4 linked regions of the Tamandua tetradactyla genome follow. The protein of the gene in region 3 interacts with the protein of the main gene of each other region in a pairwise test. Links are inferred from orthologs where the notes say so. Each region holds a gene or a part of one and is shown on either strand. Other genes may lie near its edges.

Region 1 (7,384 bases), on a different chromosome or scaffold from region 3:
ACAGGGAAGCAACACTTCATGTTTCAGATAAACTACTTTATTTATTAAAAAATTAACCACTTTTGGACAAGTGAAATAAGTCTCCTTCTCATTCCACCAAATACGGTCACCAGTTTCGTATGTATTCTTTCAATGTGATTGATGCAATAAGCAATGTTCATCTAGCAACAAGTCTGTTTCTGCAGCATTTTTTCTTTTTTAGCTTTTAAAGAAGAATATAATAGAATTAGTTTTCACTTCTATAATTTTTTTAGGTAAACATTTTAGCCAAAATATTTTAGCCAGATTTCTTCATCTTAAAGCCAAGGTCCTGTGTACAGGAGTTCTTCACTTTTACAGTTTATCAAAGCTAGAAAAAAAGAGAACTTTTTTAGTTTATAGGATACTTTGTTTCATTATTGGGAGATTTTGATATATTTTCATGAGCAACAAATCTCCTGGTTAGTTAAGAATTACTGTGAAACACAGTTTGCTATTCTTAGAACTTTGTTGAACAATGATGAATATTGAGACTATGATGTAATTATACCTCTAACAAATAATCTAAAATTTTCTTTAGCTTAAAGTGAAAATGTTTTAAGGAAGTACAACTCATTACTATCTTCATTTGCTTGGACAAGAGTGTATTTTGGTTTTAAACACAGTTACAGTGTTTAAACAAAAAATAACCATATAAGTCTGCAGTTCACAATGCAGGTTAAATTAAATATTTTAATGTAATCAACAAATTATTAGAAAAACTTTACATATTAGTCACACCAAACTGAATTTTTTGGGATAAAAAAATTTATCACCTTGATTTTTTTCCAGTTTTGTCCTAGCTTAAATCATCATGAATTTTCTCAAGGATTTTTTTTACTGTCTTACAGTAAAAGAAAACTTGCTCATTTACTCCATTGTGCAAGTTACGACCTACTAGTAAACAAAGAAAAGATTTTGGTTATATTCCGTGTGCCATGATTCCAATAAACAATGGCAGCTTATTTTTAAATCCAGGTTATTATAGTTTGTATTTCATATTTAAAACAGAAATCCACAATTAAAATTTCAAAGTACTGAAAATCTTTGTGAAGACTAGAAATAAAAGTTCGTTAATGAAAAATTCCAGCCCCAAGTCTTCACCATTTGTCCACGATTCACATTTGCACCCGACCACAAATTTATACGCAGGCTAAGAAAAGAAAAATGATTCACAACAATTCAAACTAAGGCAATGTCTACAACAACTACTCCTTGGGGGGGGGGGGGGACTAGAATTTTGTTCTTTGAGGCAAAAAGAACAACCTCCATCCCTTCCAGAAGGTGCATGAAATAAAATAAACTAAAGCAAGATTTTGAAAACTCTCTTCTTCCCAATTAACTGTTTAAAATTGTCAACTGCCAAATGATTTTCACAAAATTACTGGTAACTATAATCCATGCAGCAGTACTATACTGTAAGGGGCATATTACAGTGATAATCCTTCAGATTTTTGTTAGTGTAGGGTCTTATTTTTATTTGAAGATATGAATGTCAGCTACAGATGTTTGTAAGAAACACAAACTTTTTCTAAGTTTCAAGTCTATAACTGAGTCGATCAATTAGAAGAAAACAAATAATTAAACTACAAACTTCAAGCAGAGGCGAAGAAAGGTCAGTTAACAGATTGAATGCAACCTTTCGGACCTTCTCCCGTACAAAGAAGTCAAAATGTACTTAATCTGACAGGAGCACTCAGAGGTGACATCACCAGCATCTCACAGCTGGAACTAAACATATTTACAGGCGCTCCAAAAGTCTCAAGGCGACCCAGATAACATGGAGCCCTTTTCTTGTCTTGAAATCTTTCCCCAAACTTTGGAAATACAGTATAGTTGCATTAAATCCGGACTCACTCCTACTCTCCTCTTCCAAGAATTGAAACTAACTGGATTTCAAGCTTTAAATCTAAATGTCCTTTGCAGAGGGGACTTCCATTTTTGCATGTTGTGAATAGGAAAGGGGTGTTTATGTATCAAGTATACGTAAATTACTTAATATCCCTTAAAGCCTCAGAGACAAGCTTTCAGGTACCCCTCTGATTCCACTGGTCTTCTATCACCCCACACATCCTCAAAGAAGACAGGCTGACCACGACCCCGGCCCTGACCCAAAGGAACTCGACCCTGCGCTAACCCTTCCCTCCAGCTTCTTTTCCCCGGGATGTCTTGGGCCTACTTTCCTCGCTCCTCTCCCCACAGCCCCAGGAGGTCCTGACACGATTTCGGCTCCGATCGCGAACTTCACTAGTCCCTGACCTAGCTCACGCCACCCTCACCTCCCTTATCGCACCCCCTCGACCCCCCACCACTATGGCGGCCCGCGCGGCCCCTTTAAGAGTCGGTGGCGGCCGAGCGGCCGTTTTCCGTGGCCGGACTACACTCACCCACTGGTTGGCCTTGGGGCAGAAGGTGTATAGAGCAACCTGTCCCGTGAGGTCTGCGATGCTGGTGATATAGGGGTCGTGTCGCTTCAGAGCCGCCAGGCTCATCTCCTGCCCAGCTCGACTCAGCGACTCCATCTTGAATCCCGGAGCCGAGCCCCTCCGGTGGGGGCGGAGTCGAGGACCGGAAGGTGCCATCGAGGCAAAGTTCCCCAGGTGCGTCAGTACCTTCGACTTCCGCATCTAATTGTGGTGTTGCGGGGTGCAATCACTGTGTTCCGCTGCCCGCGCACTTCGGCTGCCAGGTTCCGGCATGTTCAGGTTCTCCCTGCCCAGCCCGACCGACGTCCGCTGTACAGCGTCTGAACTCGCGGCCGGATTCCCGGGCGGTTCTTTTCCGCGAGCATAAACGTCCCTGCACCAAGATCCGGGGTTCCTGCGCGTTTCAGGGTTCCTGCCGGAGGGGATCCGAGACTCACCCCAGCCCGCCTCCGGCTCTCGCGCGAGGGACGCAGCAGCGAGAATGGGGGACGCCACACGTTTAGAAAGCACCGAAAGACAGGGGACGCGGGAGACCCCGAAAATTACCCCAAATCTCACCAGATCGTCACCGTTTACAATCTGCTGTTTTCTGAAGGAGATATTTGAAAAAAGTAACTCACCTGAAACTTCATAGACGTTTTTATTGCTGCCCACTTTCGCTTCCTCTTTTCTCTTGTCTGAGTCTCGCGTAAATATTTCTATCCGGTCCTGGAAGGGCCCCATGAAGGCCTGAGTTGTGCATCATTTAAAAGGATTAAAAATACCACTCATTGTTTTGGCAAATATCTGTTGAAAATTCTGAGGCATTTTAAAGAGGCAGATGTTGTTGATAGTGAAAAAGTAAAACTAAGTCCAGAGACCACAGTGAGCTCTTGTCCCCACAGACTTGTTTAAAAGCAACATTTTTTCTTAAATTTTAAAAGATACGCTAACAGAGTTAAGCAAAACATTCGAAATTTTAAAAATCCATAATTTCATTAAAATAACACTATAAAATATGTATGTGTTTATGATTTTACATCCTAGGAGTATGTATTAATCGAAAGAGGCTCTATGTCTTACATTCTGTACAAAATCATATAAGAAGCACAGATGAGGCCAAGGAGAGTATCGCTCAGTCACCCTTCATTAAGCAAGTATTTATTGAACTCCCAGTTGTGGACTGGCTCCCTTGGGAGCTCCAAAGTCTATTGACAACCTCCTGGGTGTGGGAGAAATGAAAGAAGTAGAACAAAGCAAGGAAACAGGGATAATTAATGCTAGAGACTTTTCTGAAACACAGAGGATGGAGCCACTAACTCCATCTAGCCTGGCAATATAAGAAGGCTTCATGGAAGAAATGATGTTTGCATTGGAGTGCCAGTGAAGAAAGGTAAGGACTCCCTTTCATTTCATTTAACAGCTCAGTGCTGAGTTGGGGAAAATGTGGTCATCCTCACTGACAGATTATTAGTGTTATTTATTTTTTTTAATTGACAAGCCAAAACAATGTACAAACACGAACATTCTTAACATACAAACATTCCATACATGGTGTACAATCAGTGCCTCACAATACCATCACATAGTAGTATATTCATCACCATGATCATTTTTTAGAACGTTTGCATCACTCCAGAAACAGAAATAAGAAGAAAAAAGAAAAAAATCATAGTATCATACCCCTTACTCCTCCCTTCCATTGACCCCTAATATTTCCATCTACCCAATATATTTTAACCTTTGTTCCCCCTACTTTTTTTCTATACCCCTGTTCTAGTTTGCTAGCTGCTGGAATGCAATATAACAGAAATGGAATGGCTTTTAACAAGGGAAATTTAATGAGTTGCTAGTTTATAGTTCTAAGGCTGAGAAAATGTCCAATTAAAACAGGTCTATAGAAATGACCAATTAAAGGCATCCAGGGAAGGATACCTTGGTTCAAGAAGGTCGATGAAGTTCAGGGTTTCTCTCTCATCTGGAAAGGCACATGGCGAACACAGTCAGTTTCTCTCTTGGCTGGAAGGGCACATGGCAAGCAAGGCATCAATCTCCACTTTCTCTCCTGGCTTCCTGTTTCATGAAGCTCCCTGGGAGGCATTTTCCTTCTTCATCTCCAAGGGTCGATGGCTCGTGGACTCTCTGCTTTGTGGTGCTGCAGCATTCTCTGCTCTCTCTCAATCTCTTTCTCCAAAATGTTTTCTCTTTTATAGGACTCCAGTAAACCAATCAAGACCCACTCAAATGGGTGGAGACTGTCATCCCCTAATCCAGTTTAACAACCATTCTTGACTAAATCACATCAACCAGGGCAATGATCTCATTACAGTTTCAAACATACAGTATTGAATAGAGATTATTCTACCTTTATGAAATGGGATTTGTATTAAAACATGGCTTTTTCTTAGGGGGCATGCTTCCTTTCAAACCAGCACAACCCCTTACCACTCCCTTTCATTGATCACTAGTATTTCAATCAACTCAATTAGTTTTAACATTTGTTCCCATTATTTATTTATTTTTAATTCATATTTTTTACTCATTTGTCCATACCATAGATAAAAGGAGCTTTAGACACAGGTTTTCACCATCACATAGCCACATTGTGAAAGCTCTATCATTATACAATCATCTTTAAGACATGGCTACTGGAACACAGCTCTGCAGTTTCAGGCACTTCCCTCTAGCCTCTGTAATACACCTTAAATTAGATTGGGATATCTATATAATGTGTAAGAATAACCTCCAGGATAACCTCTTGACTCTGAAATCTCTCAGCCACTGACCCTTTATTTTGTCTCATTTCTCTCTTCCCCCTTTTGGTCGGGAAGGTTTTCTCAATCCCTTGATGCTGAGTCTCAGCTCATTCTAGGATTTCTTTCCCACGTTGCCAGGAAGGTTTACACCCCTGGGAGTTATGCCCTAGGTAGAGACGGGGAGGGCAGTGAGTTTGCTTGCCATGTTGGTTGCGAGAGAGAAGCCACATCTGAGCAACAAAAGAGGTTCTCTGGGGGTGACTCCTAGGCCTAATTTTAAGTAGGTTTAGCCTATCCTTTGTGGGGATAAGCTTCATATGAACAGACCCCAAGATTGAGGACTCAGCCTATTGATTTGGTTGTCCCGACTGCTTGCGACAATATCAGGAATTCTCCAAATGGGGAAGTTGAATTTCTGCTCTTTCTCACCATTCCCCCAAGGGGACTTCGCAAGTACTTTTTTATTCACTGTTAAATTACTCTGTAATTTCTTGGGGCATCACATTGGACAAACCTACAAAATCTCATGCCCTATTCAAGGTTCCATGTACTTATGGTGTTCAATTAACCTGTCTATATAGGTTATATTAGGAAATGTGCTAGTCAAAATATAAATTTTGTACCAAATAAACATTTTTTTGCTTTAGTCTTACACAGAAGTTGAAGTTTTAAAATATGAATGACCACCTATTTTCAGTACCCTGCAATATTGACATTCCTTTGTTCTTCCTCATGCAAAAACTTTTTAAAATTTGTACATTTAGTCACTATCATTATACACTCTAGGTATTCCTAGATTATACCATCTCAGTTTTTATCGTGTATCTTTCCTTCTGGTTTCATTTGTGCCCCCAGCCCTTCTCCCTCTATCATTCTCACATTCAGCTTCATTCAGTGTACTAACATTATTGTGCTTCGATCAGGTAGTATTGTGCTATCCATTTCTGAATTTTTACAATCAGTCCTGTTGCACAGTCTGTATCCCTTCAGCTCCAGTTACCCAACATCTATCCTGTTTCTAGCTCCTAGTGACCTCTGCTCTTAACTGAAATTCTTCAAGTTCATTCATTAATGTCAGTTCATATCTGTGAGACCATACAGTATTTGTCCTTTTGTTTCTGGCTAATCTCACTCAGCATAATGACTGACAGATTATTTAATTGAGGCCCTAGAGGAGAAATCATTGGCTCAAAGTGACACACTAATCAGAAGGCATCCAGTGATAGAATCTCAGGGCCCCTGCCTTCTACCCTAGGTTCCTTTCCGCTACTCCCAAGTTGCCTTTCTTCCTCACAGTGACAAGAAGCAGTTGCCCTATACCCTTTTACCTGCCTTCAATCAAGGGTTTCACGAATCTGTATCCTATTTTTTTACAAATGTGTATTTTTTGAATAGGTAATACATTCACTGGTACAAATTTCAAAAGGCATATCTGAAACAGAATACTTTTTTTCTCACACGAATTTCTTAAAATATGACATTTTCTTTTTATTTACTATTTTTGGTTGTGTTAGACTAGTGAAGAATACCCAGCTATTTTAGGGGGTTTTCATATTTTGAATAAAAAGTCACTTCACAAAGCATGTTTGCATGGCCCCGAACATGTTAATATTGACTTTCATGCCCTTTACTGCTGTAGCTCTTAGATATATTAAAGACGAAGTGAATATTTTGGAATTGAAAACCATCCTCATTTACCTTGAGGCCTAATTTTGCCTTATGTTTGTGAATTGGGCCTTAAGGTCTTTCTTGTGTCTTTTAGACAATTAGCTCTGAGAAGGCAAAGACTGTATTTTCGCCTGTTAGGTCTCCAGCACCTATCACATAAAGTAGACCCTCAGTAAATTCACTGAATGAATTTTGTCTTAAAACCCAACTCCTTTAAATCCATGCAAGAGAGTTGAGGAAGGGGAGAGGAAGTGGATGGCTAGGGTCAGATGTGGAGGGAGGTTTACTCTGCAGTGAATAACCCTTGGTCACTTTTGAGTTGTGTACCATGTATGTTCATGTTTTTTAAAATTAAAAATAGTTATAAAAATGATAGCCTAAAAAGCCAATCAATCCACTTCTTCTCTGCCACTCTGGGAGGCTTTGTGGTAAGAAATAAAACTTGCCATTTAAAACTATGGAGTCTAGTGAAAAGGACAGTGGAATTCAAGTCAGGTGATCAGTGTTTTCTTCCAAATCTGCCAGCTGTGTAACTTT
Region 2 (7,331 bases), on a different chromosome or scaffold from region 3:
TTCTATTCTATTTTAAAAATAAAATGCTTTGTTTTTCATCATAGTACTTATTATGACCTGACACTCTATCACACTCATGTCTGCCTGTGGTCTGGCTCTCCCACTAAAATGTAAGCTTCATGAACATGCCCATTTCACCGTTGTATCTTCAGCGCCTAGAGCAGTGCCTGGTACACAGTGGATATTAGAGAATTAGGGAGCATGACAAAAAGTTGAAGAATTAAAATGTTTGTGACGGTCCCTTGTAAAATGCCAGAGAAAGGCATCGGCCACCAACTCTTGGCTTGAACGACTGCGCCACATTCTGTGAAATGGCCAGCATTCCCGTTTTATAGATGGAAAACTGAAGCTCAGAGAAGTCACGTGACTTGCACAAACAGGCATTAAAATCTGGCCTCAATAAATGAGTAAGTGTTCTATGCCCTTGAAAATGGCAGTGGTCATTAGTGCTGTTTGTCAAATATTTCCAATTCTTTCCTCATTCTGAGCATACTGTAGGATCACACTTCTTGTCCCCTTGGGGCCATTTATAGCTGGTTCTGGCTAATGAGCTGTGAGAGGAAATGGCTGAAGCTTTTGAAAGCTGGCATGGCATCCTCCGGGTTCTCTCGATCCCCTCGGGCATGGTGACTGGTGACATTAGACACGATGGCTGCTCCATCAGTCTGGGCCCCTGAGTGACTGATAAGCCAGGGTCCCCTCTCCAACCTACAAAGGACAGGTAGTGTGAATGAGAAAGACGTCTCTGTGTTTAAAGGCCCTGAGATTTGAGAGTTGTTCATTACTGCAGCATAACCAAACCTATCCTAATAGAGCTGGAAATCCTTTGTGCTACTCTCAGAACCACAGGGGATTCCCTAGATGCCTCGGGGATTTCAGAAGACATCAAATATCTCAAAGCCAAACAATAATAAAATTTCCCCCTCAGAAAGTCAGGTCATATTCTATCCTCCCCTGTTCCTTCCTACCAGGGAGATTTGTGGGGGATGGGGGGGGTGGGGGTGGGTCAACCCTTGGAAAGACTCACCCAATAGGGAAACCAACATGCTCCGGGACCACCTCTGAAGTGACTTTGCACACTGACCACACACTCAAAACCCTGCTGTCATAATCCTCCCCCTTGAGAAAAACTAACAGCAGCACACCCACGCTGCTGGGAGTGAGTCACAAGCAAAAAAGTCCGCAGCTCCAAGCCAAGAGGGTCTGCCACCACTGAGAAGAAACTCTCACTGGAGCTGTCAGCAGACGCTGAGGTCTTAGCCCATAGCCTGGATGGCCAAAGACCAATCCAAAAGTTTTAAAGTCCAGGCATCAGACGCTACCCCATGCAACATCCTGACTGCACAGAGAACTAGGGTTTACTCCATACTTCTTCCTTGGAAAGGAGGAGGGAGATATACTGTGTGTGTGTGTTTCTGTGTGTGTGTTGTGGGAGGGGGTGCTTTTTGGGAGGAGACTGGGGGCTGCATAGAAGGAACCAAATGCTGAGCAAGAAGCCTTGTGCTGAGGTGGCGGGGGGGGGGGGGGGGAGGCAACTACCTCCCCCGACCTCATTTTCTTGGCTCAAAGAGATGAACCTTAAGATAAACTTGATAAACTTTTTGGACTGGTTGCATGGAATTATGTTATCTCCATATTCATCTCTGTTCCCATCCCAGAAGTTAGGAGGGCTCTGAGCTGCCCAATCTCCCTCCCGCTTTCAGTGCTAAGAGCAGCCACCACCACTTCCCCAAATCAGAGCTGCAGCAATAAAACAAAAACTGGAGCAATTTCTCCGTACGGCTCACACAACTGGAAAGGGCTTTATGCCTGATTATCCAGATAGCCCTTAGCTTCCCAGGGCAAGAGGAGCCCCTTCTCCCCCATGAGCACTGCTCTCCCGGAAAACTATGGGGCTGGGCTTCCAAAACTATGCTGGGGAATTGGGGAGCAGGAGATGGTAACTGTTGGCAATATATCAAAAAGGCCATTTCAAAACTGATCTTCAAATGAACTCTTTGCTAGATCCCTGCTTTTTCTTGCCACCCGAAGCTGTCACCCAGAGTCCAAGCTGGGTCCAGACCCTGAACCTCACCCAGGCCAGTGCACTCCTGGGAGCCAGTGATCTCCCACCAGCTCTGGTGCCTGGAGAGATAGATGGATAACAGAGGGTGGAAACAGGCAAATATTTATATGCAACACATATTTCTGCAACAATTCCAAGAGACCTGCTTGCTGAAAAAGCGGGAGAGACAGGAATAAGAGACCACAAGGCAAATTGTATTTTTCCCTTTTACATATTCAGCAGAAACCATTCAGGAATTGCTCCCTTCTGGCTGTTCCACTGAACCGTTTACCTGCCTGGTGAGGAATCCATTCTCCCATCACCATCTTAGATCTAAAGCAATGGTTCTCAAGCTGGGGTCCTTGGATCAGTAGCATCAGCACTACCTGGGAAACTGTTAAAAATACAAAATCTCAAACCCCAGCCCCACATCTGATGACTCAAAAAACTAGGGCTGAGGCCAGTGATCTGTGATTTAACAAACCCTCCGGCTGATCGTGATGCATGCTGAAGTTTGGAAACCACTGATGTAGAGAAAGTACTGTTCAAACAAGGGAGAGGAAAGGTGGAGGATTGTGGTGCACGGTCCCCTAGCTCAGCTGCCTTCTGCCTTGTAGCACTGGGGATTGGCTGCTGTGGAGCCATGAAACAAAGCAGGCTGGGAATTTCCTAGGCATTAGGCTCTAGAATTTTTAGGAATTACCTAAAATTTACCTCCAAGGGGGGAAAACAAAAGGTGAAGATTCCCCTACTGGACACTAGGGGGAGACCCCTCTCTGGTCTGGGAGAAGGAGGGGAAGTCTCAGGTCTAGCAGGATTCAGACTATTCCCCAAGTTGGTTGCTGGTGACCGCTGCTAAATCAACCAACCCAACCCCATGCTTTAAGAGGAAAGTTGTGGTCATTATGTCAGAGTGTGGGAACCCGAGAGGACAGCAAGCCTGGCTCCTCACTCCCAACGCAATTTGCAGTTCAAACTGGGGCTAGAGACAGCCAGGATACACAGGTATGTGCCAGGCTACATAGGTTGGATTCAAAGACCCAGGAGTCCCCACTCAATCTCAGTTTCCCCACCCAGGAGACAGACCTGGTGCTATTCTTTCCCACACTAAATAGGGCAAAGGTACTGGTCAGGCCCAGCTACATTATTTGCAGGGCCCAGTGCCAAAACGAAATGTGGTACCTTCGTTTAAAAATTAAGAATTTCAAAATGGTGACAGTGGAGTATCAAACGAGGCAGGGGTGGAGGTAGAGCCGGGTGGGGGGACGCAGTAGTCTATCCTGATCCTGGTAGAAAAGGGTCTCTTTGGGTCCCACAGAACTGTCCATACCTGGTGCAAAGTAAGGCTATTTGGGGGTTGGGGTGGGGGTGGGGGTGTCGGATCTCCAAAGTAATTACTCGAACAGCTGGGAGAAAGGAGCCTTTGACTTAGGTAGAAAAAGTCCCTCAGCCTACAGGGTGCGAGGGCGTTCTCACACTCCAGGGCCCTCTACCAGTATAACTCCAGTCTTACGGGAAAGAGGAATCTCCAATCCCGCAAGGCTGCGGAGGAAGGGGAAACCCGAGAGAGAGTGAAAGCCGCGCGCGCACAGTCGGCTGCGCCTCGCAGGCGGCCGGGGTGCACAGCCTGGGAGCGTCCCCCGAAGCGCGCGTCCCTCCGCGTCACGGGACTCGGCGCTGCTCTGCGGGGACGCCACCGCGGCGCACACGCACTCCCCCGCCCAGACCCGGCTTCGCAAACCAGCTGAAGGCGACGAGGGAAGGAAGCACTGTTAGGGAGCACATTCCTCCAATCGGCCTGAAATTGGGGAGGGGGCGGCGGAGCCCCGGGACCTCCTCCTCCTTGGGTTCCATCCTCAACTAGTTCCTAAGCTCTTCCCTCCCATTTGGGCGTGCTGGGGTGCGGGTGTCGGGGAGGCGGGGGTGGGGGGTGGATCGGGTATTGGTAGAAGTGAAGGAAGAGGGAAAGAGGCAGGGCTGAAGGCAAAGAGACCCTACAGGAGGGCTTTTTCTGCATTGTACTGTACAGCAGCTTTGCTATCCTAAATCCCAGATGTTCAATAGACTTCCTGAAGGCGCCCCCTAAACCCACACTCATGCTCGGACAACCCCCACAGTACAACCTTACCACCCGGTCCGTCGGCCTTTCCCTCGTGTCGCCCTTCCTGCCTCCCTGAAGTCTCCCCGCCCCCGCCCCGCCCTGTCGGCTGCGGTCCCTTTAAAGGCGCGCTGGTGTGGGGCCGCCCCTTCTCTCGGGGCTGGCTCGGGAGCTGCGCCTCGCCGGGAGACAACCGCCGCCCCTAGCCGGGCATGGCCATGGCGTCCCCGGCCATCGGGCAGCGCCCCTACCCGCTCCTACTGGACCCCGAACCACCGCGCTATCTGCAGAGCCTGAGCGGCCCCGAGCCGCAGCCACAGCCCCCCGGCCGGTCGTCGCGCCGCTGCGCCCGCGCGCCCCTCTCCGCTGCGCCCGGGGCGCACGATGGGCGCGGCGCCCGGAGGACTTCCCGGGAGGACCCGGAGCCCCAACCCCGGGCTTCCCGACCCCCTCGCCCTGTCCGGCCGGGTCTGCAACAGAGACTGCGGCGGCGGCCCGGAGCGCCCCGGCCCCGCGATGTGCGGAGCATCTTCGAGCAGCCACAGGACCCCCGCGTCCCGGCGGAACGAGGCGAGGGACACTGCTTCGCGGAACTAGCGCTGCGGGCGGGCCCGGGCTGGTGCGACCTGTGCGGACGCGAGGTGCTGCGGCAGGCGCAGCGCTGCGCTAGTGAGTGTGGGGGCCGGGCAGGGGAGGGGCGCGCGCAAGACCGCAGTCCAGGGGCGAGGGACTGCGACAGGGCTGGGAGAGAGGCGGCATTGCCCTCTCTAACTCCAGGACAGGCCCAGACTTTAGGGGAAATAGTCCTTGGAGACAGTCTGCTCCTTCGTCCCCTACCCCGTATCCGTGACGACTGTCACTGCCCAGGGATGGCTGTGCGGTAGGCATTCTACCAATACCCCTTGCCTGACCAGTGCACGCCTTCACCTCCCCACATGCGCTCAGGCTGGGATTGATAACCACAAGGTCATTCCTTGTCTTCCATGCCCCCCGCATGTTTTTATCGTAGGATCTCACTCTGACCTTGGGAGGAAGGGCAAGACCAATATTGAGATGGCCATTTGACTCTTGCTTATTAGTGAAAATGGCAAAATGGTTTGTTTGTCCACCTACGGTGTGGGCCCAAACCCCTCCTCCAGGGGGACCTGTTGAGTCCTGGCTGAGGCCATGCCTGGGAAGGAGCTGTGGGTTGAAGGGAGGCTGAGGTCACCCTGCACCTGTGCCCCTGCCTGCCTTCCACATCTGGCCACTCAGACCTTTGGACTCAGCTCTCATGTTTGGCTGTGCCCTGCCTCCTCCTCTTCTTCCTAGGCTCCTACATCAGTGGTTGGTCTTTAAAATTACCCAACTCCCGGTGGGGTCCCTCCCTCCCCAGCTCAGTCCCCTGCAGCCTTCTCCTGAGCCAGGCTCTTCTCAAACCTGACTGTAAAGCACTGGGCACCCAGCATGTAGATTTTCTGAGCAAATCTACAGTCTTCCTGAAAGATTATTATTTTTTCTTACTACAATTAGGCATGTATATTCCTTTAACTGTGTCATCCGTGCCCCCTCCCTCCTCTGTCTTTCTCCCATATTTGTTGTTGCCGTGTTTGGCAGAGGATACCCAGAGGCGTGTGTTTATGTGTTTGTATAGGTATTTCAAATATCTGAAGCACAGATAATGGCACAACCTCCAAAAAGCATTTCTTGAAATGGTCATGTTTGCATCCTTCTGCAGCGGCCTTCCCCCTGCGACAGCAGCTCTGCATCTCTCCTCTGACTGCAGTGACTTCCACATCAGGAGGCCCCTACCTTTCCTCTCTGCAGGCCACAGCCAAGGCTGGGCATGTGCCTCCCACTGCAGCAGGCTGCGGGGAAGGGGAGCTCAGACTCTAAGCCGGGGCTAAGGGGGAGGTGGGAGATTGGAGGGGAAAGTCAGAACTCATAGTTCAGGTGCTGATTAAGCAAGAAACAGCAGAAATTCGAGAGTTGTGTGCTGTGGGTGTTGAGGACACATGTGGAAGGCTGCTGTCACTTGGTAAATGCCCCTGACCTTACAGAAGAATCCAGAACAACTTGCCCAGGGATGTGTTGGCTGCTTTTGCCCTTTCTAAGTTCCTGATCCACCAACCAATACACAGGGGAGAGGCAGAATCCTCACTAAAATGGGTTTTATTGTTCTGGAATCCCAGGAAATCTGCTTCATTGGAATTCCAGTTTGTATTGACTTTTGGAGACTACATCAGCTGTTGAACATTTTGCACGTTTTGATTTTTTTTTTGGTTTGGGTTCTTAAGAGTCAGAGGTATATTTGCATATGTTTGTATGTGCATATGCAGAGTACTCAGCATGAATTTATCCCCACTTCATGCTAGAGTTGTTTATTTCCTTTGCTTAGTTCCTAAATACCTTCTAGTGGCAAGAGAGTTGAATCTCCCAAGACCCAGGTTCACGTGGCAGTTCCTTTGACTTTATGGGACTTGGCCCACTTTCCTGAGTGCCAGCTCCCCCCTTGCATCACTGCTTTAATACCCTGCTCCCCAGGCCCAGGGATGGTTGACCACCGGAGAGGGAGCAGAGCTGGAATCAGGAAGCCACAGGGAGGAGTCTCGTTATTAATACTTAACTAATTGTGAACCTGTGGCTGGCTGGGAACGGTTGAGAAATATTCTGATGTGCGAATGAGGGCTGGCAAGTGGAGTCACAACAAATCAAACTCACTGAGTATCTTTAAGTTGAAGGTCTAGTTCTGTAATGGGTTTGATTTGTTTTATCTTTATTTTGAAAAGCAAGGGCCAGAGATATGACTTTAAAAAGCCAGGGCCTATGCCGTGATTAAGAGCACAGGCTGGGACCAGAGGGCCTGGGTTGGAATCCTGCTTCTGTATCTGTGTGACCCTGGGCATCTCTGAGTCTCAGTTTCCTTCTTTACAAAATGGGGAACATAATATTACTTACTTCATCAGGTTAAGGTGAGGCTTAAATGAGTTAATATACACATATATGTCAAGTGATGGAATAGTCCCTAGCAAAATGCTTTGTAAATGTTGGATGCTGTTATTTCTAGCCCGCTCCCATCTGACAGCTATGCAACAATTAGTTGGAGCTCTTGACACCATCTAGTGTCACCTTGGCAAGCAACGAGTACAGTTTTCAAACTCTGGTTTCCTGGGCTTAGGGAGGTAGCGAGTGAGCGTACCAGGAGGTGAG
Region 3 (7,600 bases):
ATGAGAGAAGACAGGATTAACAAATGAGTATAACTGCTGAATCATTATACTGATATTTCTTTGGATCTCCAGTGTCTTGGAGTAGTTAGAAGAAAAAATGAAAAATCAAGGTTCTGTAACCCATACCAAACTTTAAAATCTGCTCCATAACTACTTGTTAAAACGTACTTGGAAATATATTGCTTTTTTGAATATATGTTGTTTCACACAAAAAAAAAATCGTCATTGAACAGGAAACGGGAAGAAAACACATGAGGCAAGAGCTATAGGGAAACAAATTAGAACTGAAAGTTTAAACATAAGAAAAATAATAAAATGTTCTCACCAATATAGGCAAAATACTAGGTAAGACTAAATATGTATTTTTAATTTAACAGACTCGGCAGAACCTGTACAGTTAACTGTGCTAGCAAAGATCTCACCAATTCACAGCCCAATGACACTGGTGTCTAGTGATGTTACCTTAACACTGGCTCTATCAGAAAAAGTCATTTCAAGCCAGAGAGCTGAAATGTAACTGCTAGAATCATCAGTTTATAATATTTATTCTTTAATTTAAGAGAAGAGGGGTGAAATTTGAAAGGGAATGCAAAAAAATTCACACCCAAACAGAGAACTAGCTCCACTACAGTACAGCTTAAGAAAGTAAAGCACAGGTTTTTAGATTTGCTGCTTCTTAGTATAACCAGACTGGCTTTGAGGAAAGCCATCATAAAAGGTCAATGAATCACATAAAACTGATTCAGGCTTTCTCAGCACAAACTTTTATGAAGTCTGAAACAGATTTGCAATGAAGTCACTCAAACCAAATTTCACTTCAAAAATAAAAAAAACTAAAATGCATTATCTCTTTAAAGCAAATCCACCCAAAAACCTAGAAAGCAAAGAAAAAGCCACTTCTATTAATAGACTCACAAAATGTTTTATCAATTTTCTCCAGAAAAGCTTTTAGTTTTAACTCCAATAACTTAAACCTACCTAATTCATCACCACCTTAATAACTAAAGTTACTCCAAGTCATAAATGTTTGGCCTCCCTCTATTACATTTGTTCTGTAACAAACCCATTTAAGGAAATAAAATCATGACCACATTATGGAAGAAACACAGATGAGAAACCATATTTTTAAATGTTAATTGTATTATGAATTAACCATATCAGAGCTTTCCAGCAGAAAAATAAAAATTACACCTCAGAATTTCATAAGCTGTATTTCAACTAAAATATATCTAGTCCCGATATGGCAAAGGTAATTTATTGAAATGCAATGTTCTAAATCTAATTTCTTTATAAAAGTATGCATTTCTTCATTTCCTTTTAAGGCTCTAAATGGTTTCTGCCTGCACAAGTACTGACCGGACGTCTTAACCGAATATTCAAGTGGCTACAGACTAAAAGGATGCTAATTCTCGAAAAAGTCAAGCGAGACTTTTTTTCAATCAGCCAAGAACGCATGCCTTTGGAGTCAATTCAGGCTACATAAAATGATTACCTATATTTTGTATTATAAGTACTAAATAACTGGCAACTTAAGCCTAAACTATGGGGCAAAATCTAAAAGAATTAAACCAATTCCAAAATTAGTTTTAGATAAATATGTGCATATAATGGGATGTATGCACAACTATATAATGCTGTGAGCCAGCAAGTGTATACTTCGGATGTGTGTATGGTGTGTGACTGTATCTTAATAAAACTGCATTTTTTAAACATGTGTTAATTTTTTTTTAAAAAGGTTTACTAGGGTTTTCAAAGGGAAAAGAGCTATCCATTTTCAACAGAGTTTTTAAAAAAATCTCTCTATATCCGCAAAGAAACCTTTCATGTTAACTAAAAAACACCCATTTCTTTTAAAATCTAGCTTGAGAATTAAAAACAGCAGCTTAGGGCCTGTGATGGAGTCATCGCCCTCCACGCTACACCAATTTCACGATCTGTACACTTAGTCCTGGCAATAAGATAAACTACGTCTTTTATTAGGAAACATTTTTTACTGAAGGCGGGAATGGCGGTTCAATTAGGTGCTAAAACAGTTTCCTGCATACCGCCATCACCCACAATATCAAAAAGTAAACAAAACAAAGCCAGAAACGTAAACTAGAATGACACGATCAGGAAGAGAAAGGGATGAAGAGAAAAATTTTTTTGCTTGACAAAAAAAAAGGAAAACTATTTACAACTTTTATTTAAAGGTAAGGTTCCTCCCCGTCCACACTCCAACCCAACGCGCTTTGCCGGGGCAAACAGTGAAACTACTTAAATAACAAAGAGGAGCAAAGGCCGCAGCGGGAGTCCTTCCCCTCCGAGTTTAACTTGATTCCCGTCCTAACTAAGAGGGGACTTAGGGACTGGAGGACCAACTCTGGCCCGAGCTCGAGGGACTGGAGCCACCGCGCCCAGCCCGACACGCGCAGGGGCCGCCGACCCGACTGAGCTCCGCAGGCGGCCGCGCTCGCTCGCTCTGCCCAGCAGACCTCCGGCCTCCCGCGCGCTCCCCGCCGCCTCCGCTGCCGCCGGGAGCCCGCCCCGGGGCGGGGAAGCCGCGGGCGGGGCGCACGGGCCTGGCCGGGGGAAGGGGAGGGGACATGGCGCGGTTACCTGGGCTCGGGTGGTGGCGAGAGAAGTCCGCTCTCCCGCCGTTGTTCCCCCAGCAATACAGACTGCTCCTCAGCCCCCGCCTCAGAGAGCCTGGGCCAGTCCGCCCCCTTCTCGGCGCGGCACCGCTGCCCGTGCGGGCCGGACCAGCTCGAGCTCCCGGGCCACCCCGCGACTGGGGGCCTCTCTTGCGGGACGCCTGGCTCCCCTCACCCGCTCCCGCCCTCCGGACGGCCGCGGAGCCGAGGGGAGGGCGAGAAGGGCCCGAGGAAGAGAGCTGGCGGGCACCAACGGGGGCTTCTCCACCCAAGCTGCTCCGTTACCGCAGCGGCGACGACGACCAGGGCCGTGTTGTTGCTGCCAACTTGTCGAACGGACACTGAGCATGCGCGCGCAGGGACCACATCCGGGTAATTTCAGGGTTTGGCCCTTTTCCCCCTTAGCTTTCCCTTCTCCCCAGTGCCCCCGCCTCCTGCCCTGTGTGACGGGTAGAGTCGCTCTGCGCAGGCGCTCGCGGGGTAGTGCTGGTCCGCGCACAGCCGAGAGTCCCGGCCCTTGCTTGGGCCCCGGCGGAGGGGGTTGTTTCACGATGGTGTGGGGGAAAGGCTGCATGCAGAGAGTGGTCATCAAAGAAGTTGGCATCCCTTTCCAAAAAGTGCACAAGCAGAATGGAAGAAGGGGCTGCATTCCTACAGAATCGGCGTAATAGTTTGCGTCTAAGTGTTTGTGATCAGCGGTCAGCGGAGTATTTTTTTTTTCTTTTAGGACCTACGTGGATGCAAAAATTAGATTTTAAAAGCCCAATCTAGCTCAGAGGAGAGGGTAGTTGTACTGATTTAATTCGGGAAGAGACTGGCGGTAACCGGGCCTTCCTTCTCTTCCTACCAGCCCTGGATCACCCCGGGTTAAGGAGATGCGCATGACATTAACCAAGGAATCATATTTGATAGTCTTGCCAGGTATTGTGAAATGTGAGTGATTCTTACTGGAAGAGTTTAGGCGGAATCTCAGAGTTGAAAGAGACTTTCGATGTCATACAACACCACTAACTGAGTTACTTGTTGGCTGAGGAAAGACATAAACTCTGCTGTTCATTCCATACTTTTTGAATTTTCACGAGACATTTCTCTTGTAATTTAAAAAGTATCAGCACACTGTCTGATGTACATAGGCATTTTTTTTCCATGAACTCCGAACCACTTCTCATTGGACGTCACACCAAGACTAACAATTAGAAAGTTCTGAAGTCCTTTCTTAGGCCTTATCCCGCAGGAACTCCACTCCTCCTGACCTTCGCACCACTCAGAGCCAGGTTGTGTCCTCTCCATCAAACCACAGGCTCTTCCCTCTTCTACGAGAAAGCCCCTTAAACAAATGTCTTCATACTGGCGTTTTCATACACCTGGGGGTTCATGAAGACGTCCCAAGGCCAGTTTTAAGGATATTCATTTCCAGACTCTTCCACTACATTCTGTACTCTTCTCAAAAATTGTTCAGCCCTAGAAGGCACAGCATTCCATTTAAAAATTGTCTTTCTACCTTACAAAAGAAAGTCAAACTCACACATTACTAGGGTGCATGACCCAAGATGTAAAAGTCGCCAGGGCAATTCAAAAAGAGAGTTCAAAAACTTGGTGTCTATGCTGAGAAAGTGAACTACCCTAATAAGTTGATATTAAATTGCTTTGCAAGACAGGTGGTTTCCAATTCTTCACTGTCAGCAAAATTGAAGGAAAACCTAAGTTGTCAGCTTATAAATTATTAAAAATTATTTGGTAATGGATCAATTTGTGATTCTCAGACGTACACCTCAGGAGTATAGAGAATTGAGTAACATTGCTATAACTAAACTTCTCCCATTCCCATCTGTATTAGTTATCTATTGCTATATAACAGTATTACCACAAATTTAGCAGGTTAAAACAGCATACATTTATTGTCTCACAGTTTCCATGGGTCAGGAGTCCAGGCACAGCTTAGCCCCATCCTTTATAATGTTGCAGTCAAGGTGTCAACCAGGTCTTGGTGTTTATCTGAGGCTCCATGGAGAAAGGACCCACTTCCAAGGTCACATGCTTTTGGCAGTATTCAGTCCCTCATGGGCTGCAGGACAGAGGACCTCAGTCCTTTACTGGCTGTCTGCTAGAGGGCCTTTCAGTACCTTACCATGTGGCCTTCTCCATAGGGAAGCGCACAGTTTGGCAGCTTGCTTGTTTAAAGCCAACAAAGGGAAGAGTTTCTCGGCAAGACAGAGTTTACAGTTTTATGTAGCATAATCACACAAACATAATCACAAACATCCTGTCACCTTTGGCATCAAAAGCACATCACAGATCCCAACCATATTCAAGAGGAGGGGACTACCAGGACGTGAACACCGGGAGACAGGGATCCTAGGGCTACTTCAGAACCTGTCTACTACACAATCTATTTATGCAAATAACGTTTCCTCTAAACTCAATCTCTTATTTCTCTTCAGGTTCCCTTCACATTCTTGCTCAAGGGCAACTCAGCTTTCCCCTGAGGACACTGTTATCCCTTTCCCTTATCAAGTCCTGCTGATTGTGTTTTCAACCATCAACCTCAAAGAGAGGGCTTAGACTTGCAGTAGGTGTCCTTGGTCCTTGTCATTGCTCCCAGATCACCCTCTTCCTCCTCCCTGTAAGTCTCACTCCAGCTTTAAATTTTGTTATCCAGAGCCCCTTATTGTTACACTCATTCCCCTCCATTTTTTTTTTTAGCTCGGATGCAGCTTCATTCAGTGTTTTAACATGATTACTTTACAATTAGGTATTATTGTGCTGTCCATTTTTGAGTTTTTGTATCTAATCCTGTTGCACAGTCTGTATCCCATCAGCTCCAATTACCCATTATCTTACCCTGTTTCTAAGTCCTGCTGGACTCTGTTACCAATGACATATTCCAAGTTTATTCTCGAATGTCGATTCACATCATTGGGACCATACGGTATTTGTCTTTTAGTTTTTGGCTAGACTCACTCAGCATAATGTTCTCTAGGTCCATCAATGTTATTACATGCTTCATAATTTTATCCTGTCTTAAAGCTGCATAATATTCCATCGTATGTATATACCACAGTTTGTTTAGCCACTTGTCTGTTGATGGACATTTTGGCTGTTTCCATCTCTTTGCAATTGTAAATAACGCTGCTATAAACATTGGTGTGCAAATGTCCGTTTGAGTTTTTGCCCTTAATTCCTTTGAGTAGATTCCCAGCAATGGTATTGCCAGGTCGTATGGCAATTCTATATTCAGCTTTTTGAGGAACCGCCAAACTACCTTCCACAGTGGTTGCACCATTTGACATTCCCACCAACAGTGGACAAGTGTGCCTCTTTCACCGCATCCTCTCCAGCACTTGTCATTTTCTGTTTTGTTGATAATGGCCATTCTGGTGGGTGTGAAATGATATCTCATTGTGGTTTTGATTTGCATTTCTCTAATGGCCAGGGACACTGAGCATCTCTTCATGTGCCTTTTGGCCATTTGTATTTCCTCTTCTGAGAGGTGTCTGTTCAAGTCTTTTTCCCATTTTGTAATTGGGTTGGCTGTCTTTTTGTTGTTGAGTTGAACAGTCTCTTTATAAATTCTGGATCCTAGACCTTTATCTGATATGTCGTTTCCAAATATTGTTTCCCATTGTGTAGGCTGTCTTTCTACTTTATTGATGAAGTTCTTTGATGCACAAAATTGTTTAATTTTGAGGAGCTCCCATTTATTTATTTATTTCTTCAGTGCTCTTGCTTTAGGTTTAAGGTCCATAAAACTGCCTCCAATTGTAAGTTTCATAAGATATCTCCCTACATTTTCCTCTAACTGTTTTATGGTCTTAGACCTAATGTTTAGATCTTTGATCCATTTTGAGTTAACTTTTGTGTAGGGTGTGAGATATGGGTCTTATTTCATTCTTTTGCATATGGATATCCAGTTCTCTAGGCACCATTTATTGAAGAGACTGTTCTGTCCCAGGTGAGTTGGCTTGACTGCCTTATCAAAGATCAAATGTCCATAGATGAGAGGGTCTATATCTGAGCACTCTATTCGATTCCATTGGTCCATATATCTATCTTTATGCCAATACCATGCTGTTTTGACCACTGTGGCTTCATAATATGCCTTAAAGTCAGGCAGCACGAGACCTCCAGCTTCGTTTTTTTCCTCAAGATGTTTTTAGCAATTCTGGGCACCCTGCCCTTCCAGACAAATTTGCTTATTGGTTTTTCTATTTCCGAAAAATAAGTTGTTGGGATTTTGATTGGTATTGCATTGAATCTGTAAATCAATTTAGGTAGGATTGACATCTTAACTATATTTAGTCTTCCAATCCATGAACACGGTATGCCCTTCCATCTATTTAGGTCTTCTGTGATTTCTTTTAACAGTTTTTTGTAGTTTTCTTTATATAGGTTTTTTGTCTCTTTAGTTAAATTTATTCCTAGGTATTTTATTCTTTTAGTTGCAATTGTAAATGGGATTCGTTTCTTGATTTCCCCCTCAGCTTGTTCCTTACTAGTGTATAGAAATGCTACAGATTTTTGAATGTTGATCTTGTAACCTGCTACTTTGCTGTACTCATTTATTAGCTCTAGTAGTTTTGTTGTGGGTTTTTCCGGGTTTTCGACGTATAGTATCATATCGTCTGCAAACAGTGATAGTTTTACTTCTTCCTTTCCAATTTTGATGCCTTGTATTTCTTTTTCTTGTCTAATTGCTCTGGCTAGAACCTCCAACACAATGTTGAATAATAGTGGTGATAGTGGACATCCTTGTCTTGTTCCAGATCTTCGGGGGAATGTTTTCAATTTTTCCCCATTGAGGATGATATTAGCTGTGGGTTTTTCATATATACCCTCTATCATTTTAAGGAAGTTCCCTTGTATTCCTATCCTTTGAAGTGTTTTCAACAGGAAAGGATGTTGAATCTTGTCAAATGCCTTCTCTGCATCAATTGAGATGATCATGTGATTTTTCTGCTTTGATTTGT
Region 4 (6,954 bases), on a different chromosome or scaffold from region 3:
GAGGGAGGAAAAAAAATTTAGAATTCTAGGAAAAAATAAGCCATATAGATGAACATTTAGTTGATCTCACAAAAGGTAATATTTTCTAGGCAGAGAAGCTCTGGAAGAAATCACAAAGGAAAAAACGCAGTATGTGTGATTACATAAAAACATAAAACTTTTGAATATGTAAAACCATAAAAAACTTAAAAGGTATTTGATCGGCAAAAAAAAATGCTAAAACAAATATGAAAAGCAAAGAACTAATATTCATAAATAGCTCTTATAAACAAGTAAGAAAACATTAACACCCACCATAGAAAAAGTAAAAAAAAAGAGCTAATTCACAAAATGAGAAAATGCATGGTTAAGGCATTAAAAAATTCAACTTTACTAGTTATCAAAGGAAAGCTGCTGAGCTATTTTTCATCCACCAAATTTGATGGTGGTATGAGAAATACTTTTCAAAAGACATTTAAATTTGCAACAATCTGGAAAATTATCTTACAAGCCTTTGAAATGGTAATTTCAAAGTAATAGTTTGAGCTATATAAGGATGTTCACTGTAGCATTACTTATAATACAGAAATGGACAAGACAAAATTTAACAAAAAAAAAAACACAAGGCCTAGCAAGTCACAGCACGTTCTTACTTGATATAGCAATATTACACAGCAACTCAAAATCATGTGTTTGAGGAATGTTTCATAATTTGGAAATATTTTCACAGTACAACATTATGTAGCCAATAAAAACATTTTAGAAGAACAATGACATGAAGAAATACTCACAATATAATATTAAGTTGAAAAAGCAGTAATAAAATTGTGATCCCAATGAAAAAATAATAGATCAATAAAAATTGACAGATTTATCAAGCCTGGAAAAGCAATTTCGCAAAAATCACTAAAACATTTAGAGTGCTTATTTCTCAATGTATTTCAGAAACATTCTATAATAAATAAAAAAAGGTCACATATTCAAATCATGATTTAAAGAAAAAAGTAAAATTTAATGGTTTATGGCTATGTTTAAAATTCACAAAACTAGAAAGATTTTAAACAACCCCAGTCACTTAGTATTCAGTAACTTGGTCTAATATTTATACAGGCTCCACATGTGTCTAAATTTTGTGGCATCATAACCACCAAACTAAAATTTCAGAATATGGTTACTAACAGGGTACTAAGGAACAGTGCATGGTTACACAGTTCATTAACCTTACTTTTTTTGTATTATATCTTTTTTTAAAAACATGACAGCAAAATTGTCCTCCCAATAGATTTTACATTGTACATTATGCTCTTCAGTGTTTTCAAGTGTCTCTTATGACTTTCAATATTAATTAAAAAACAATCATATGTATACTCAAGCTAAAGCCAAATTTGAAATATATAAACCAAAATATTTCATTTTTCTGTACATGCAAAGGGAACTATGCCCTAAGACCAAAGTTCTTTTAACCTAAATATGTATCTACATATCCATACACACACAGATGTTTTTTCAAATGACATATTTGCAACATTAAACTATCAGAAATAAGTGTTTATCCTGGATTTGTTCGTGTGTGTGTGTGTGTGTGTGTGTCTGTGCGCGCGTTCTTGGGTGGGGGGAAGGGGAGTGTTGGGTAACCACCCCAGAAGAATAAAGGGACAAGATTACACAACTGCCCTCGAAAGACATTTCTGCATAGAAGACTTCAGAGTTGAAGGAATTAAATTTGAAACATACTAAAGATTTTGATGAGAAAAAAAAATGTTTCCTATCACTCTATCTCTGGTGACATCATTTAAATATCCACCATTCAAAACTATCCTTTTCAATTAAATCTAGTTAATAGTTACCAAGGAGGTTGATTTAAGGCAATAAAAACGTTCCCAAACTGACCATGATTATAAAACACTGCCACTTCTTCACTGACAGAATGATTTAAATTTAGGGCTATATAATGCTAAACAAATTGTTATATATACAAACCACTGACAAAGTTTATGAAAATTGTTTTACAAGTTTTTAGCCTCATAAGAAATAATTTGCATAATGGGAAATCATATCAAATAACTTCACTCAGAGGAGTCATATACGACTTAAAATGAGACTATTTGAACTAAATAAATAATACATGAGCAATTATAACCACCTTTTTCAAGAAACTAAAATCAAGCACACTATTAAAAAAATTAAAACAATTGTATCTTCTACACATTAACATGGGAGTTATTAACAATCAACTAAGTTTTACTGGTGGTTACTTGTTTTCCTCACAAAGACTTCAGTGTAGTTGGGACTTTGTGGAACTCTTTATCAGAACAATTGACCAAGTATTATACTTCACTGTGAAGTATAATTTTCATACTGACAAATAAAATAAGAAAGATTTTTAAAAGAATAACAATAATAAGCTAACCAAAATTAAGTATTTCAGAAATAAACAAGTGATCGAAGACTGAAAAAATGTGAAATTCACATTTAAGTAGGTTCAGAGACACATAAACTTATAAAAATTAAAACTTAGTTAAGATTAAAAAAAAAAACGAGGTTTCTTTTAAAACTACATTGTATGTTCTTTCACTGCTTCCCAGGTTCCCCCTATTAGTTTCAAAACACAAATTGTTTCTATTCTGCAAACATTCCACACAACCATGATAGAACTGGTAAAAATAGGGTTAAATATTTGCTAATATGCAATTCAAATACATGCACTTCCCAGGAAAACACTATTAGATGCAAGAAACTGATCGTTAACTTCCTAATAAAACATGAATTCAGCAACACCCAAAAAAAATGAAATTATAATCGAGAACCACAAGTCACACAGTTTTACAGAAAATCACCTCCACAGCTTCTCAGAGAATCGGAGAAATTGAGGAGAGCTTGAAGTCGGTAAAGAAATAAGATATAAAATAAAGGTCTTCCATGAAAAATATGGAAATTTGGAGGCAACAGAATGAAACCCCTGAAAAATATGGAAAAATAAATCTAGAACCCAAATGGCGCCCAATAAGAACATTAGATCTTGAAAATGAATATTGCGCTTGCGCAGCCACCGCCCCGCCAAGCTGCACAACTGCAGCTAGAGCCCTACCCCCGCAAGATCACGTGCTCCCATGCAGCGCCCGTCCGCAACTCCGCAACCGCGCAGGCGCAAACACAACTCCAGCAGCCGCCATAATGCGGTCTTTACTCTTCAGAAATACAATAGAAATTCAAGAAAATGTGGTCATAAGAGCCCCTGGGATTCACATATACCTTTTGGGGCGGGAGTTGAGGGAGGGGGAACCAAATTCCTTCTGACAGAGCCGTCCCGCGCCGCCGTCCCGAACGTTGCCGCCTCAGTCTCGCGCGCCTCAGCCGCCGGGCCGCCGCTGCTGCCGCCGCCTCCGCAGATTCAAAAACAAACCCGCTTCTCTCTTGCACGCGCCGGGGCCGTTATGCAAATTAATGTAGGCGGGTCTCCGTGCGCGTGTGTTGACCACGCCCATTAGGCTATCAACCAATAGGCTTACGGACTGGCCGTTCCCCATGCAAATATCCTGGGTTTTTATTTGAATGAGGAAATTTGGCCCCGCCTCCTACCGTGGAAACCAGAAGGAAGTATGAGGTGGTGGCGCTGCGACTTTTAGTTGCAGCGTGAGGTGTATTTCTGAGTGGACCTTTGTACAATCAGTGAGTAAAGCACTTTGTGAGCGCCCTCTATGAGGCATAGGAAAGAAAAAAGGAAGTGGATATGTGAGAGTTGAAGAACTAAGAAAACATTTTCAAAAAAGGAAGCTGAATATATTTAGTTCTTTTCTGTTTTTAATTCACAAAACATACTTTGAACTGTATTAGTAATGAGGAAATGGAGACAAGATATCTTTTCTTTCAGTTTTCTGTGACACAGCGAGCATTTCCGATCATATCCTTCCACCAAAATTTGTGTCCATCGCATTCAATTTTACCTTGGTAATGAACATTCACTTGAAGACCACAAGGTGTAGAGAGGGCACTACCCTACTAATTGGGAGATCTGGGCTCACATCATGTTTCTACTTCTTACTTACCTGTTGGCTGGAATAAGTGTTTTACTCAGTTTTCTCATCTGTAAAGTGGAAATATTGCCTGTGGTTCAAGTTGGTTGAGAGGGTCAACTGATGAGATAAGTAGTATAAATGTGTTTTGCAAAGGAGGAGGAGCCTTATCAGTTCCTAAGATTTGGTGGTGGTTTTTTTTTTAAGGAATTTCTCCCTTAATCTATCTATTCACTGTTTATTTAGCAATCACCCCACTCTTCTCCACCCCACTCTTCTCCAGAAATATGTTAGATGCTGGAATTAAACAGTGAGTATGACACTGTTCCTTTTCTCAAGAATTTTATACTCTAGTGGAAGAGATGGAAAACTAAAAAGAAAAATGTTCTAAGTAATACAAGATTAGCACAGGGTGTTTAATATTTTTATAACTTGAGACTTTCAACTGGTTTGAAACACAGAATAGCTTTTAAAAGGATTACCTAATCCAGACTTCAGGAATCATAACAGCCTTCCTTCTTCCTCCTTATGTGAGAGAATCTCACATCAGAGGTGATTTAATAAATTTCTTTATCAAAACCTGTACCTTATCCTGAAGCCAATAAGGAATCTCTTAAAAGAGTTTGTCAGGAAATGACATGATTAGATTTGCATTCATTAATTACTAAACTTTGTAAATATTCAGCACAGAACATAGTATTTAAGAGTGCTCAAGTGATAAATAGGTATTCAATTATAATAAAATTTTGGCATAATTTATTTAGTACATAGATGCTCAAATTATAAAATATATGCTCAGTAAATTAAAATATTAGTATAAATATTAAAAGTTCCATTCTATAGGGCAGGCCATGATGGCTCAGCAGGCAGAGTTCTGGCCTGCCATGCCAGAGACCCAGGTTCAATTCTCAGTGACTGCCCATGCAAAAAAAAAAAAAAGAGTTCCATTCTATAACAATAGAGATGGGATTGGAATAATCAAACCCATTAGGTTTCTCTTTATATTTCTTTAATAAGCAAATAAACGGAATCTCTGAATTGTGCTAATGGAAAAGAGTAAATAGTTTAGCATTAATTCACTGATCAGTTGTCTTAGATAACGTCACATTCTATGTTTGTCTCCCAATACCTAGTTTTATTTTATTTGAATCTTGCCAGATATCCCTAATCACACATTTTTACAAACAGTCTCTTTGGCCACTTTGCCTGTTTATTTTATCTAACTAATCTAACTGATTCATTCAACACGCATACTATTTATACTGCATTCAGATACTGTTACACACACTGGAGATGCCCAAAGGAAATAACACTGCCTCTGCCATTGGTCTATAAGTGTAAGAATCATATATAGAGATAAATATGAGAACTTTACTACTAGGAAGATATATACCAAGTATAAAAGAAATATAAAAGAAGAGCACCCAAATCTTCCTTATTATGTGGAAAAACTTCACAGAGATGTAACTTGATCTGACTAATCATGCAGAATTTAAAGTCTGACTGTCAAACTAGCTACAAAAGAAAGAGAATTCAGGTTAGATAAAACAGAAAACACAAAGAATAAATAGGGGTTGGATTCAACTTCTAGGAGAAATAGTATTCAAAATGTTTATTAGTCCCTATGGCACTAGGCACTTATCAATCAGAATGAAAGCAGGCATGAAGACCCCTTATTTTATCAAATATTAATCCTTTAATTGCTGAATTATGTGGAAATAAAGGAGTCATGAGCTAGGAACTGAGGGGCATTCAGAGTTAGGACAATGTTTTAGTTTCTTAGGCTGCTCCAGCAAATACCATGAAATGGTTTGGCTTACATAAAAGAAATTTATTCTCTTACAGTTTTGATGCTAAGAAAATGTCCAAATAAAGGCAGCATCAGGGTGATGCATTTGTCCCAAAGACCTGCTGCTGCCGATTCTTGGCTCCTCTGCCACATGGTAAGGTACAAAGCATTGTCAATTCATCTCTCTCCTCTCTTCTGGGTTTTGTTGATTTCTTTTCTTGCTTCCATGGCTTTCTCCCTCTGTCAGAGTTTCATTCCACTTATAAAGGACTCCAGTAACAGGATTAAGACCCACCCTGATTGAGGTAGGTCACACCTCAGCTGAAGTCACGTCAACAAAAGATCCTACTTACAATGCATTCACACCCACAGGGATAGATTAATTTTGGGGGGGGTACATACAGCTGCAAACTAACTCTGGCACCTATTTACTAATCAGACCAAAGTATTTCCACATTTTATCCATGTATAGCCTTATTGGTTCATACTAACATTCTTCTTAAATAATATTGCTATAGTAAAGCAGATCAGATAATCTCACAAGAGAAAAGAAAAAAACAGTAAAAGAAAACCAAAAATAAAATAAATGAACTTCAATTGCAGCAATTGAAGAAGGAAAACAAAAAAGAATAGCCAAAGGAGAAAACTGAAATTTCTAAATACTTATAAAACATAGCATAAAGTAGTGATTAAGAAAATATGCTCTGAAACTAACTATATGAATTCAAATCCTGTATTTGCATCTTACTTGTTGTTTATATATCTCTATGCAATGCATCCCTATGTATGTAAGAATAAAATTAAATTTAGTTTTCACACAAAATGGCATGGAATGGGGGAAAACAAAATTTACTAAACAAAAGGCTGAAAAACCAGCCCAGACCAGTTCCACAGTTGGGAAGGGGGAAGGAGCCTCTTATGTATGCTTAATGATTGGCACCATTTCCTTATATGGGAAAAAAATGTGAGTTAGACCTCTCAGGTAGGTTGTAACCTTTGGAGTACCCAGACAATGAGAAAACAGAGGAGGGTGATTCCCGTGTTAGGCTTAGGTAATAAATGTTTCTGCCTCCTGTTGTTTGGCACACCAGCCACCACATTGCGGTTGTGTACCCCTTCTGGCAAGATCTTTAATAAATTATTTTCTTCTCCACAATCAGATGAACATTTATT

The links.
Region 1: the proteins of SMAD4 (region 3) and DCP1A interact in binary tests that used the Homo sapiens proteins (3 or more experiments, as listed by UniProt). The link is inferred for Tamandua tetradactyla from reciprocal best matches to the Homo sapiens genes SMAD4 and DCP1A.
Region 2: the proteins of SMAD4 (region 3) and RASSF5 interact in binary tests that used the Homo sapiens proteins (3 or more experiments, as listed by UniProt). The link is inferred for Tamandua tetradactyla from reciprocal best matches to the Homo sapiens genes SMAD4 and RASSF5.
Region 4: the proteins of SMAD4 (region 3) and ATF7IP interact in a two-hybrid assay, tested with the Homo sapiens proteins (2 studies listed by BioGRID and IntAct). The link is inferred for Tamandua tetradactyla from reciprocal best matches to the Homo sapiens genes SMAD4 and ATF7IP.

What each region holds. Positions count from the first base shown.
Region 1 is NC_135341.1:32,330,425-32,337,808, reverse strand, and holds the start of DCP1A (mRNA-decapping enzyme 1A), read right to left. Parts: upstream 3,003-7,384; 5' UTR 2,646-3,002; coding exon 2,406-2,645; intron 916-2,405; exon of another isoform or gene 795-915; intron 1-794. UniProt on the Homo sapiens protein: Necessary for the degradation of mRNAs, both in normal mRNA turnover and in nonsense-mediated mRNA decay. Removes the 7-methyl guanine cap structure from mRNA molecules, yielding a 5'-phosphorylated mRNA fragment and 7m-GDP.
Region 2 is NC_135330.1:64,233,944-64,241,274, forward strand, and holds the start of RASSF5 (ras association domain-containing protein 5), read left to right. Parts: upstream 1-4,309; 5' UTR 4,310-4,354; coding exon 4,355-4,811; intron 4,812-7,331. UniProt on the Homo sapiens protein: Potential tumor suppressor. Seems to be involved in lymphocyte adhesion by linking RAP1A activation upon T-cell receptor or chemokine stimulation to integrin activation.
Region 3 is NC_135344.1:31,637,148-31,644,747, forward strand, and holds the start of SMAD4 (mothers against decapentaplegic homolog 4), read right to left. Parts: upstream 3,023-7,600; 5' UTR 2,599-3,022; exon of another isoform or gene 2,335-2,598; intron 1-2,334. UniProt on the Homo sapiens protein: In muscle physiology, plays a central role in the balance between atrophy and hypertrophy. When recruited by MSTN, promotes atrophy response via phosphorylated SMAD2/4.
Region 4 is NC_135333.1:76,973,608-76,980,561, reverse strand, and holds the start of ATF7IP (activating transcription factor 7-interacting protein 1), read right to left. Parts: upstream 3,012-6,954; 5' UTR 2,993-3,011; coding exon 2,817-2,992; intron 1-2,816. UniProt on the Homo sapiens protein: Recruiter that couples transcriptional factors to general transcription apparatus and thereby modulates transcription regulation and chromatin formation. Can both act as an activator or a repressor depending on the context.